3 linked regions of the Arabidopsis thaliana genome follow. The protein of the gene in region 3 interacts with the protein of the main gene of each other region in a pairwise test. Each region holds a gene or a part of one and is shown on either strand. Other genes may lie near its edges.

Region 1 (3,756 bases), 5.3 Mb from region 3:
ACAATTATCTATTATTTCGAAATATTTATTTCTCATTCTGACATAATTTCGACAAAGTGCCTCTTTGTTTATCCTCTTGTCTGAATTATCCTATTTCTCAAAATCAGTGAAGCATTTCATTATATATTTCAATAAAAATCCGTAAATTATGAACAAAAAATCATGAAATACCCATTTGTTTATTTGTTTTTTTTTATTTGGTTTTACTGAGGTGTTACTTACACTTTTTTTAAAAAAAATTGTTGAAACGGTGCTCACACAGTATATTATATATTTTAATTTTCTTCTGACAAAAGAAACATATATAATCAAATTATATTGTTTTGGTACGTTTATAGATACGTAAACGATGTTGATTACCAAGGTGGATTCGAACAAGAAGACTTAAACCAACTATTCGAAGCCATCCGAAGCAACTACAAAGCGTGGTGCTTAGGTTTCGCTCCACTCGCCGTCGGTGGCGACATGGACTCCATCGCCGTTCAAGAATTCAGCAGAACACTCTTCAATATGCGTCCCGACATAGCTCTCTCCGTCGGCCAGACCATTTTCCAAAGTGACATGAGACAGATCTTACCTTTTGTCACTGTTCCGTGTCACATTCTCCAAAGTGTTAAGGACTTAGCTGTACCAGTCGTTGTCTCCGAGTATCTTCACGCCAATCTTGGCTGTGAATCCGTCGTCGAGGTTATTCCTTCTGATGGTCATCTTCCTCAGCTTAGCTCACCAGATTCTGTTATTCCTGTCATCCTCCGTCACATTCGTAATGACATTGCTATGTGATTGTAAGAGATTTAATTAGTTAATTATTAAACGATGTAAGAAAAGTTGAAAAAAAATATCTGATGTGATATGTCTGTCTAGTCTATTGAGAACATTATTTCGTTGTCGTTTGGTTCTGATTCGTTTATCTTGAGTATCTTGATCTTTGTTGTTCTTATCTTGTTTAACGAAAAGTCTCTGTCTTTTGTCCACAGCTTTGCTCAGAGCTCATTATTGCTTGATGTAATAGTGATGTTCGTAATTGATGGTCCATAGTGAATTATTGCAACTTTGCAAGAGTGCTTGTGCTATACTGTGTGAAGAGTAATTAACATGTGATACTAGGAATTAGCATTGAGTTTGCATTTATGGATGGGTAATCCAAACCATAAAACATACATATTGTGATGGTTTTGAAATTTGTTTGTTTGTGAACAAAAATTAGCCAAGTTTTAAACAAAGTAAAATGAAAATTTAGGGTTTTGAATTAGGATGGAGTTAAGTCATATTTTGTTAGGTTTGTTTGCTTATGAAATTATGGATTTGTTTGATGTTATTATAGGGATGCGGTGCAAAAGATATTGTTTTCTATATTATCATTTATCACTAATAACTTTCAAATTTTATTGACGCGCCTGCTCAGATTTTATTCGATTTGTTGTTTATGAAATTAGTTATAGATTGGTAAGTAAATAGCTTTAAAAAATTAGTGATACAAAACAAAATGGTAAATATTGTATTGCTTCTTACTAGTCAATACTATGATTAAACTTCCATTTTATAATTCACTTTATATAAAACTTCTATTTATTTTCTTAAAATTATTTTATTATTGAAATTTAAATATCATTTGGTACAATATTATTTCTTCATCACTAGTCAAATACTATGATTAGCCTACCCAAAAAAAAAGTCAAATACTATGATTAAACTTCCATTTTTTTAAAATTCATTGCAGGTCATACAATTTAAATGTTTACATAGTCATGAAAGAATTGAGAACATATATATACTTCAAATTTGTTCTCCAATACAGTCACACACCTAACTTCAATTTGCTTAGAATTTCTTTGGCAAGACGATTAACAGAGCTAGCCCATTGTAAAAGGGTAATAAATAATAAGTGGGCTAGGCCCATATATACACAACAAAAAGTCACGTGACAAGAAACTTCATACGTGTGCGACTCTTGCCCCAAAATTTGATTAGCACCACTTATTGAGAAGCAGCAGCAGCACCACAAGCACCACCACCAGTATCACATTCACATTCACCATCATCGTCTCTTCGCTCTTATCTCTCCGTTACTTTTTTATTTACTATCTCTCTCTTCCCCGTTACTTTTTTTTCTTCCCCGTTTCGTTCTCCGTCAAAGTCTTCTCTCTTTACCATTTTCTCCACTGTACTAATTTCCCTTTTTACCCCTAAACCCATCGTTCCCGTGACACGACGGCCACGAAGAAGAGGGATAAAATTGAGAAAGATTAAATAGGCGATTGATTTCTCCATCGGAGACACCACCGCTCAAAAAATGGCGACGGCGACGGCGACATCGGAACGATTCGAGTTAGCCAAGCACTGCAGTTCACGGAACTGGTCTAAAGCGATCCGAGTTCTCGATTCGCTCCTTGCTAAGGAGTCTTCAATTTTGGATATATGGTTTGGTTTCGAGATCTTTGTTCTCTCATTCAATTTCTCCGGATCGGTATCAATGATTTTTCTCCCGTTAATCTCAGTATTTTTTTTTGAATTGGGAATTTGGTTTCAGCAATAGAGCGTTTTGTTATAATCAATTGGAGCTTCACAAGCATGTGATTAAGGACTGTGACAAGGCACTTCTGCTTGAACCTTTTGCCATTCAAGCTTTTATTCTCAAAGGTTAGTTCACTTCCAAGCTTTGACTTGAGTGCTTCATAGTTTCTCTGGGAATTGAGTTTGATTCTCGGGATAGCTTCAGAACTAGAATTAGGGGTTTAGATAATGCTATAGTGCCTGCTAGTTATGACGATATAATGGTTGCTTAAGAATATCTGTTAAGTTATATATCTTATCGGGGATGGAATTTTTTATGGTTACCGGATCATGGTTTACTTTGATTGGTATACTGCATGTGAACTCAAGTGTATCAGCTTTTCCATCTAGGACGCGCTCTTTTGGCTTTGGGGAGAAAACAGGAAGCTGTTCTTGTTTTGGAGCAAGGGTATAAAAGTGCGTTGCAGCAGACAGCAGATGTGAAGCAGTTACTTGAATTAGAAGAACTCTTAAAAGATGCAAGACGAGAAATTGATGGGATTTTAAAAAGTCATGCCACCGAGTCTCCGCAAGAGACCCCTGCCTATCATAGTGAGAAGTCTGATGAAAAAAGTGACAAGCTGGACAACCATGAATCAGGAGCAAGTAGCAATGGGAACTCACATGAGTCATCTAGCGAATTGGGCGAGCAATCAAAGATAGTAAGCTTTTCAAAAGTTGCATCCAAGGCTAGCAAGCAATCTGATGGTAATTCCGACTTATGTAACGGATCAGTGTACAAGGAAAAAGAGAATGGAAAGTGTGGCAGCCAAATCAATGGTTATTATGAATCATGTAAACCTTGTAATGGTTCTGATTTGCATGATAATTTAGCTGAAAGTTCCGATCGGTTCGGGGAGCTATCGATTAATGGAAACAAGATAAGTATTAAGTCTAGCAAAATGAGCCATAAAGCTGAGGCACGTTGCGGAATTAGTGATGAATCCAGGAAAAATAAGAAGTACACCATAGCAAGAATATCGGGAACCCATTCCATAAGTGTGGATTTTCGACTTTCTAGAGGCATTGCACAGGTATAGCAATACACAGAAAAAAAGGAAAAGAAAAGAGCTATAAGGTATAGCTTCCAAATTTTTGATGACTGAGCTTCTGTTTTGTCAACAGGTGAATGAAGGAAACTATACGAAAGCTATTTCTATTTTTGATAAGGTGATTTGGTGATCTTTATCTCTGGCGAGTGTC
Region 2 (3,756 bases), on a different chromosome or scaffold from region 3:
ATCTCCCAACATTAAGTACAAATGTCCCTTGATCAACCATCATTTATATATGTTGAACGACTTGTTGTTAGTATATTTGATTAAGTGAATATTAACATTATTATTCTATCTAACGATGATTTATTGAACCATCTATGTAAGTTATTATGTGCATATGACCTTTGTACTACCACATCCACAACTTCATAAGATGTTGCATGGATTTTTTTTAACGAGCAATAATAAATTGTAAAATCTTATTTGGGTCTAATTAATTTCACTTCTGAGTCATACAATATGTACATGAACTAGTAAGTTGGAATGGGCCCATAATGGGCCGCTCAAATAACTCTCCTCCAAACCTAAAACCCTTTATCGTAATTGATTCTCCAAGCATCCTTTTGAATCTCTGATTCCTACAAGACAAATCACTAAAAGATTCGCAAGTTGACATAGCAGAGACCATACGACACCAACCTAAACACAGAAAAGAATAACTCATTCACTCGTATAGGCTTTGTCTTGCCTCTTCTTGAAAACATGTACACGTATTTAATTATAAATGCATATATAAAGATCCTACCGACGAAAAAATAAAAAGATTGAAAACATGACATCTGCTTATCGTCCAAGAGTTATTGTGAATGGAACAAGAAGAACAAGAACGTTCCATTACTTCTATTGTCGCCATTGTAGCCGTACCATTAGGCTAAGAAGCTTTGGTCTATATGGTCCCATATGTCCTTTCTGTTCTAGAGAGATCAATCTTCACGATGAGCTTGACATTATGAGGCCAAGCCGACCTTATTGGGATAGTGATACCGATTGGATCACTCTCCATCTTATCAACGAACCAAGAAGTAACCGGTTCAATCATGATGATCTAGTTTATAATACTGACGAGGAATTCGCTGATGTCATGCCTAGTGTACAAATCGGTCCACCACCAGCCTCGCAATCCGCCATCGAGGCTGTAAGGACGGTGATAATCACGGATGAAGATTTGGTGAAAGAGAAGGTTTGTGCGATATGCAAGGAGGAATTTGAAGTTGGAGAGGAAGGAAAAGAATTGAAATGCTTGCATTTGTACCATTCAAGCTGCATTGTGTCTTGGTTGAACATTCACAACACTTGTCCCATTTGTCGTTTTGAGGTTAACTTAGGTGTTTCCGAGAGTAACGTAGACGAAGGAGGGTCTTACAACATCGACAATGATCGATCAAATCGGTTTCGGACTCGGGTTTGTTCTTTGTGGCCTCTCCGAATGATGATTGATTGGGTACATAATCTCATAGGTAAGATTCCACCTCCCGATATAGCTTTCATGGCTTTTCTATTATGCTTATACGGGTTTTGACTATGATATTTAACTCTTAAAAATATATACAATTTCGCAGATATAAGAATAACAAACTCTTGACAAAAAAAAATTAAAGAATTGCAAACAAGAATGTATGAAACTAGGAATATTATTGACTACATATTAAGTGTATTATGACTTATGAGAGAGAGGAGAAGAAACACACATCAATAAGAAACGACAAAAAAAAACTACATAAAGAGACAAAGAGGGTGATCATGAAAGGCTAGAAGCGTGTTTATTTCATGAAACAAAACTTTGGCATTAACAAGACTATATTTGCATTAATTATCTTTTATTCATTTGTAAGTTGTAACAACATGTAAATAAAAAATCTTGGTAATAAGGTTAGTCCTCTACTCTACTAGCTAGGGTTCCATGATCTCTCATAGTCTCTGAAAACGCTTTGTCTCCCTTTCTTTGTTTCTTTCTCTCTCGTGATCATCGAACACAATTTACTTAGGTATGGTTTGAATAGCCTCACCAACCCTTTTTATTTGCCGGTTATCTTATTTTTGGCCTGATTTTGTAAAGCCGAGTTTGTGCCTTCTCGGTTTGGTTTACTATAACCTTCATGTAGAGCTTCCCATGGACTTCTCTACTAAAGACTTAGGATGAGTCTTGTTGTACCATCTTTTATTGTCATGCATTCAAAAATACCAACAAAATTCTACTAAAGTACAACAGATCTCAAATGACAAATACGCAATCAACTATGATGGTCACCCAACCCAATTAAACCAATCTGAAAAAAAAGTGTGATAACCAATGAAAACTCGGCCCACTAAACAGGCCCAACAAACAAATAATAAACCCAAGAGGTGCTTCTTAATCGCCGATGCCTCTCTTCATCAAAATTCAAAATCACTTTTGTCTTTTCAAAAATCACAGCAAAATAATATTCAAATTCAAAATCTGTCCAAATTCATCTAGGGTTTCTGATAAAACAGACGAAGAAGATCCAAATTCGCTAACAATGGTGAGAATTTTATGAATTCCCAATACCCCAATTTTTAAAACCCTAATTTTGTCTGTTGTGGGATTGTGTTGATGCCTGAGTTTTTCTGAATTTGTATTACTGATTGATGATCAGGGAGGTGAAGGAGAAGATCTAGAGCCACTTTTTGATTATCGTCGTGTTCAGCCAGCGAATTTCGTTTGTATCGATGGTGAGTTTCGATTATTTGATTTGGTCACTGAGCTCGACACTCGACAGTGATAAAGATGAATCCTTTATTATCGCTTGAATTTTTGTAGATGATGATGATGATGCCTCGGTGACGCCAATTCCGAAGAAAGCGAAAACTTCACAAACAGTAAGAATTGATTTTTATTGATTGGTTGTTGTCTCATTGAGCTCTTTGTGTTAACTTGATAGATACTTTTGGTATTGTGGGCTTGTAAAGAGTTTTGAATCAATGTCAGTGAAGGAACAATTCGATTATGTACTTCACAATTCATAGGTTGAATCTATCATCATTCCTTTTGGAACTTGAATCTTTTTATATAGGTTGAGAAGTTAGATGATGATGTGAAAGTGATTGAAGTTACGGGTGATGACGATTGGTTGCTTCCTCCACCAAAGGTTATCTTCGACAAAAGTAAAGACTCTGTTGAAGATTCAACTATTAAAGCATTGAGGTAACTTTTGTATGTCTTTGAGTATTTCTCATCTCTAAGCTTCCCATGTTGCTGTTAGAGGCTATGGTAGTGTTATTTGCTATCCGGAAAGAGTCCCAGTGTTACAATTTGATTATAAATGAAATATGTAACGTAGGTCGAAGAAGATGGAGCTCATGTCATTTACAAAAACTGTAGGAGATGTGATGCAGGAAGTTGAGGAGTCTGCTAAAAGGGAAGTTGAAGAATCTCGCAATCCATCTTCAGAGACTGCTGCTCAGTTACCATCAGAGCCTACGAATGACAGGGCCAAGATTGTTATTACAATACAGGACAAAGATGGACAGAAGACACTCCGGGTGTTTGCGGTAAGTTTTTTCACTGCTTGCCACTTACTATCCAACCTTCCATCGACAATAAGCTTACTATCCAAACTTTTTCTAGCTAGATACTAGATATTTAGTAGAGATAAGAATTAGTTGTTATGTCACCTTCGCTACTATCTAGATAGCTAGATATTTCGAGCTTTCTAGGAAAGCAAGAGTATAAATACAGGGATTAAAGAAATCATTGAATGGGGTCGAGTATTTGAGACGTGTATTAGTTGATGGATCTTTAAACTATTCTTTGAGTTCATCTAATAAACTAGAGAACGAGTTCATGTTCTTATCAATGTATCATCACCACATAGCATTTACACACAGAATACATATTGCTTGCTCTCTGTCATACAATGAGCCGCTCATTAATAGATATGCATATTCTGTTAAAGCTTGTAAAATATGAGAATGTTGATT
Region 3 (3,756 bases):
ACAAGCACACAGAAGTGCCATTGAGTTGGGTTCTTAAGAGCCTTATACTCACAATTTGTTCACCAAAGTCGATGTTAACATTCTGCTTGGGTATTCCTTTTGCAAAAACAGTTACCACAACTTCCTCTGGCTTTTGGTAGTACTCGTGCCTGTTAACACTCAAGAATATCAGATATTTAATGATTCTTAAAAACTTTGGTATTGTTTTCTACAATAAAACTACCTGTACTTGGCTGTAGGGGTGACATCAAGTTCAGATACTGGTGGTGCTGTCACACTTGAAGGCAAAGTCGAAGGCACCGGTTGAACCAAATCTTTCTCTTCTTCTGGAAAAAGGATATTTACAAGTTCCATAGATCAAAACCTTAGGTGAATTACATAACAAAATATTTTGCACCATGGCAAACAATACAATCACTCTAGGCATGTAAACATAATCAACCAGAAAACAAGAAAAAAACACAAAAAACATACCTGTGATTAGAAAATTGCATTCATCTATCAACTTCTTAAATTTGGATTCACTCGGCGTGATAGAGGCACCCTTTTCAAGAGCTGTTTTAGCAGTCCGATACTCTTCAAGCTTCATACAGGCAGTTCTACAAATACAAAAACCAAACCATGAACAATGGAAGTAATAGCTTGACAGATATATACCACATTTGCAGACCATATAAACTGGTAGTAAAACAATCTAAGGACTAAGGAATCAGAGAAAATTAAACTCTCACTACAACTTATATACGACTTAAAAATGTTACATAGGAGGAAATAGCAAAACGTTACCCTTTTCTTAGGTAAGCTTTGGTCAATGAAGGATCCAACTCAATTGCTTTGTTCGCATCTGCCACGGCCTCTGCTCATTGAGAATCAAATGAGACCAAAATCTTATCCAACTAGTAAAGTTCTATGATACTACGCTAAAAATGCAGAGAATACTTTCTTAAAGCAAGAAATAGTTGAACTAAAGACTAATCACTCAAGCAAAAATTGAAACTTTCAATACTCCGTTAATACTTAACACTATCTGTAAACAAAATTCTCCATATTCACAATCAAAGAATCAAAAGACTAGCACAGCTAAAACCAACTTAAACCAATGTTTGAATGCATAACTTGTAAAGGGCACTCGCTACTGATAACAAATAACTAAATTTCGTTTCTCATGAAAGCAATTCCGATACATTGTTCCTCCACAAACAGCAAAAGAGAGACACATTAGTATCAAATTGATACGAAAGCTTTAAACTTTCGAAAAGAATTGTGACACTATCAAGCGACAGGACACAAAACGAAACCCTAAATACACATAATCCAGCAAAGTCAACAACTTTCAGCTATGATGAAGTAAGAAACCGAAAACATACAAAAACCCAGAACCCCAGAAGGCGTCCACGACAGTAAAAGACGAAGATAACAGAACAAAGAAGCTACCAGTGAAGCTTTCGAGTTTGATATAGGCCTGAGCACGATCAGCGAAGAACTCAGCGCAATTAGGATCCAAGTCAATGGCTTTGGAGTACAAGTCAACAGCAACATCGAAGTCATCGTCTACGAAAGCCTCTTTAGCCTTATCAGCAAGCTCCTTCGCCATCGATTGACTAAGAAAAAAAAACAGAGGAGAGCTAACAAAGACGATGAAATCAAAACAAGGAGGGAATGAAGTAGAGGGCAAGGTTTGTTACTTATTGCCACAATGGAAGGAAGGAATATAAAGAGAGATTGGATGTTATCGTTCTTCTTCTAGATTGTTCCTTCGTTTTATGCGACTTGTGTTCAGGGAGTTGAAGAGTTCGAACCCAAAATAAAATTTATAAAAACAATAATTTAAATATTTTTCTATTTTTTCCACAAAGTTTCTCCTTATTTTTCTAAAATAATATATTTCATTTTCTATAAATTTAATTTTGTGTGTACATCAAATATGTGAGATTTGATATTATTAAGAAAAATAGGTGAGGTCTCTAGTGTATATATTTTCGTTTAAAAAAAAAAATATATATTTTGTACATGTTGGAATTTTGTTACTTCACTTCAAAAACATTTCATGTACTTTGTCAAGTTTTCTAGAGTTAAAATAGTGTCTGACTTAGATGATGAATAACTGGTTTAATTTATTATGGATCACAAATTACATAGTGGATTTGACAATTTTATGATTAACCAAAGTGGGACTATTGCCTTAGAAAATATTGTTTTCCTAGCAGTTTCGTGGAACCTTATTGGAAGATTCAAATATGTGTGGATAGGGATGGAGAAGTCAATTTATTAGTGTCAAGTGGATGTGGTGAAGTCAATTTAAATAGTATCATATCAACTTTGCTTATGAGTTGAGTTGACCCACAATAACGTTAAATATCAACCTGCATCTGTAAAATTCTTTTTTTTTTTTAATGTTTAGTTCAATATAATTAACCTTGTTCCTCGTATATAAAAAGAAATCTGTGACAAATAGCCGACAAAAAAAAAATCTGTTGGGTTTGATTTGGACCGGAATATAGACATTGCGGCCTATCAAGAAATAAAACTTGGGCTAATCAAACAACGAAAGCCTGCCTATAGTAGATACGAGATAATGTTGATGCTCCCTCATCGGAAGTTTGAGGATGGGCACTCGTGTGTAGCATAGTATAAATAAAGAAGATGGTCGAGGATTGCAAATTACTTACCTGGACGGGGTTTACGGGTGATCATGAAGATCCGTGGCCTAGGCTGGTGGCTTCCTGCACTTGAGGTGCGCTAAGCCAAAGGTCACCCCAAGTGGGAGATCCTGCGTCATTATTTGTTGCCTTGGGGGCCTGCGTTCGCGCGGCCCCTTCCATTTCCAATAGTTCAATCTTTTGATCGTCGTTTTGACTGAGTTAATTAGAGCTAGATCTTAGTCAATGGCTCATGTTACATTTATTTTCACAGATCCAGAAGAAAAAAAAATTCTGTCTAAGTACCAGCTAGGCTGGTTATTGGATAGTGTTAGCGATCCAAGACACTGATGGAGGCAAATCATTGTAATGGGCTCATAGTTGCTGTTAATGGATCTGGTGCTTCTCAAATATTTCATTTGGTTGCAGTCTAACACAAGTTTGCGTTAGAGTGTTAGTGGCAAAAGCTGAAAGTTTCAAGCCCTTATGGTGCAAGATTGATTTATGCCACAGATCAAATGTTGTGGAAGCGGTGCGCATTGCATCCTTTGTGGATCAAACCATTCTCTTTGTTCGAAGAAGTGTAAAGAATGTGTCAAGAATTTTGGCAGCAGAGACGTGACTAGTAACTTTGTAGCTAAGTTCATTTCTTTTAGGAACATTAAAGTTGGCCCAAGATTTATTTACTTGTAGGATTTTGTTGGCGTTTTGCCATATCAGCTTTATCTTTACCTTTTTATGGATGTTTCCATCTTAAAAAGTACAAGATCCAAGTTTCTCTCTATGTAGAAAGATGAGCTTGAAATTGATTTCTTATCCAAAAGGTGAACCATATATAGACACATACACTAGACTCTTTGCTCAAGGTCCGTGGCTAAGGGGGATTTTAAATTTACCATTTTTGCTAGTATTTAAACCATGAGTCTCAGTCTCACCATTATTTTAACAATTTGATCAGCAAACATATAGAAGAACAATTTCAGAGCTCCAAGGCTACATGAATTTGCATCAAGACTCCAAATAATTGGTTCCAGTTTCAGAGCTCTGCTCTAGATGAAAACAATGATCTCTAATTAACTCCTTTCATTTTGGGTTTCATAATGACAATAAATATGAC

Evidence for each region.
Region 1: the proteins of SGT1A (region 3) and SRFR1 interact in a two-hybrid assay, tested with the Arabidopsis thaliana proteins (2 studies listed by BioGRID).
Region 2: the proteins of SGT1A (region 3) and AT1G68185 interact in a two-hybrid assay, tested with the Arabidopsis thaliana proteins (one study listed by BioGRID).

The regions. Positions count from the first base shown.
Region 1 is NC_003075.7:17,614,072-17,617,827, reverse strand, and holds the start of SRFR1 (Tetratricopeptide repeat (TPR)-like superfamily protein), read left to right. Parts: upstream 1-1,881; 5' UTR 1,882-2,293; coding exon 2,294-2,421; intron 2,422-2,530; coding exon 2,531-2,640; intron 2,641-2,904; coding exon 2,905-3,587; intron 3,588-3,678; coding exon 3,679-3,723; intron 3,724-3,756. Other genes in the region: KAI2 (alpha/beta-Hydrolases superfamily protein), read left to right, coding at 339-783. UniProt on the Arabidopsis thaliana protein: Negative regulator of effector-triggered immunity associated with the EDS1 resistance pathway. May localize its interactors to a microsomal membrane. May therefore negatively regulate RPS4 and SNC1 translocation to the nucleus.
Region 2 is NC_003070.9:25,554,227-25,557,982, forward strand, and holds the start of AT1G68185 (Ubiquitin-like superfamily protein), read left to right. Parts: upstream 1-2,156; 5' UTR 2,157-2,177; coding exon 2,178-2,318; intron 2,319-2,432; coding exon 2,433-2,508; intron 2,509-2,596; coding exon 2,597-2,655; intron 2,656-2,849; coding exon 2,850-2,980; intron 2,981-3,116; coding exon 3,117-3,327; intron 3,328-3,756. Other genes in the region: UMAMIT23 (nodulin MtN21 /EamA-like transporter family protein), read left to right, coding at 1-32; AT1G68180 (RING/U-box superfamily protein), read left to right, coding at 590-1,274, 1,377-1,399.
Region 3 is NC_003075.7:12,297,853-12,301,608, reverse strand, and holds the start of SGT1A (phosphatase-like protein), read right to left. Parts: upstream 1,732-3,756; 5' UTR 1,595-1,731; coding exon 1,435-1,594; intron 860-1,434; coding exon 787-859; intron 600-786; coding exon 475-599; intron 327-474; coding exon 224-326; intron 150-223; coding exon 53-149; intron 1-52. UniProt on the Arabidopsis thaliana protein: Functions in R gene-mediated resistance, but participates in a lower extent than SGT1B to RPP5-mediated resistance. Not required for RPM1, RPS2, RPS4 and RPS5-mediated resistance.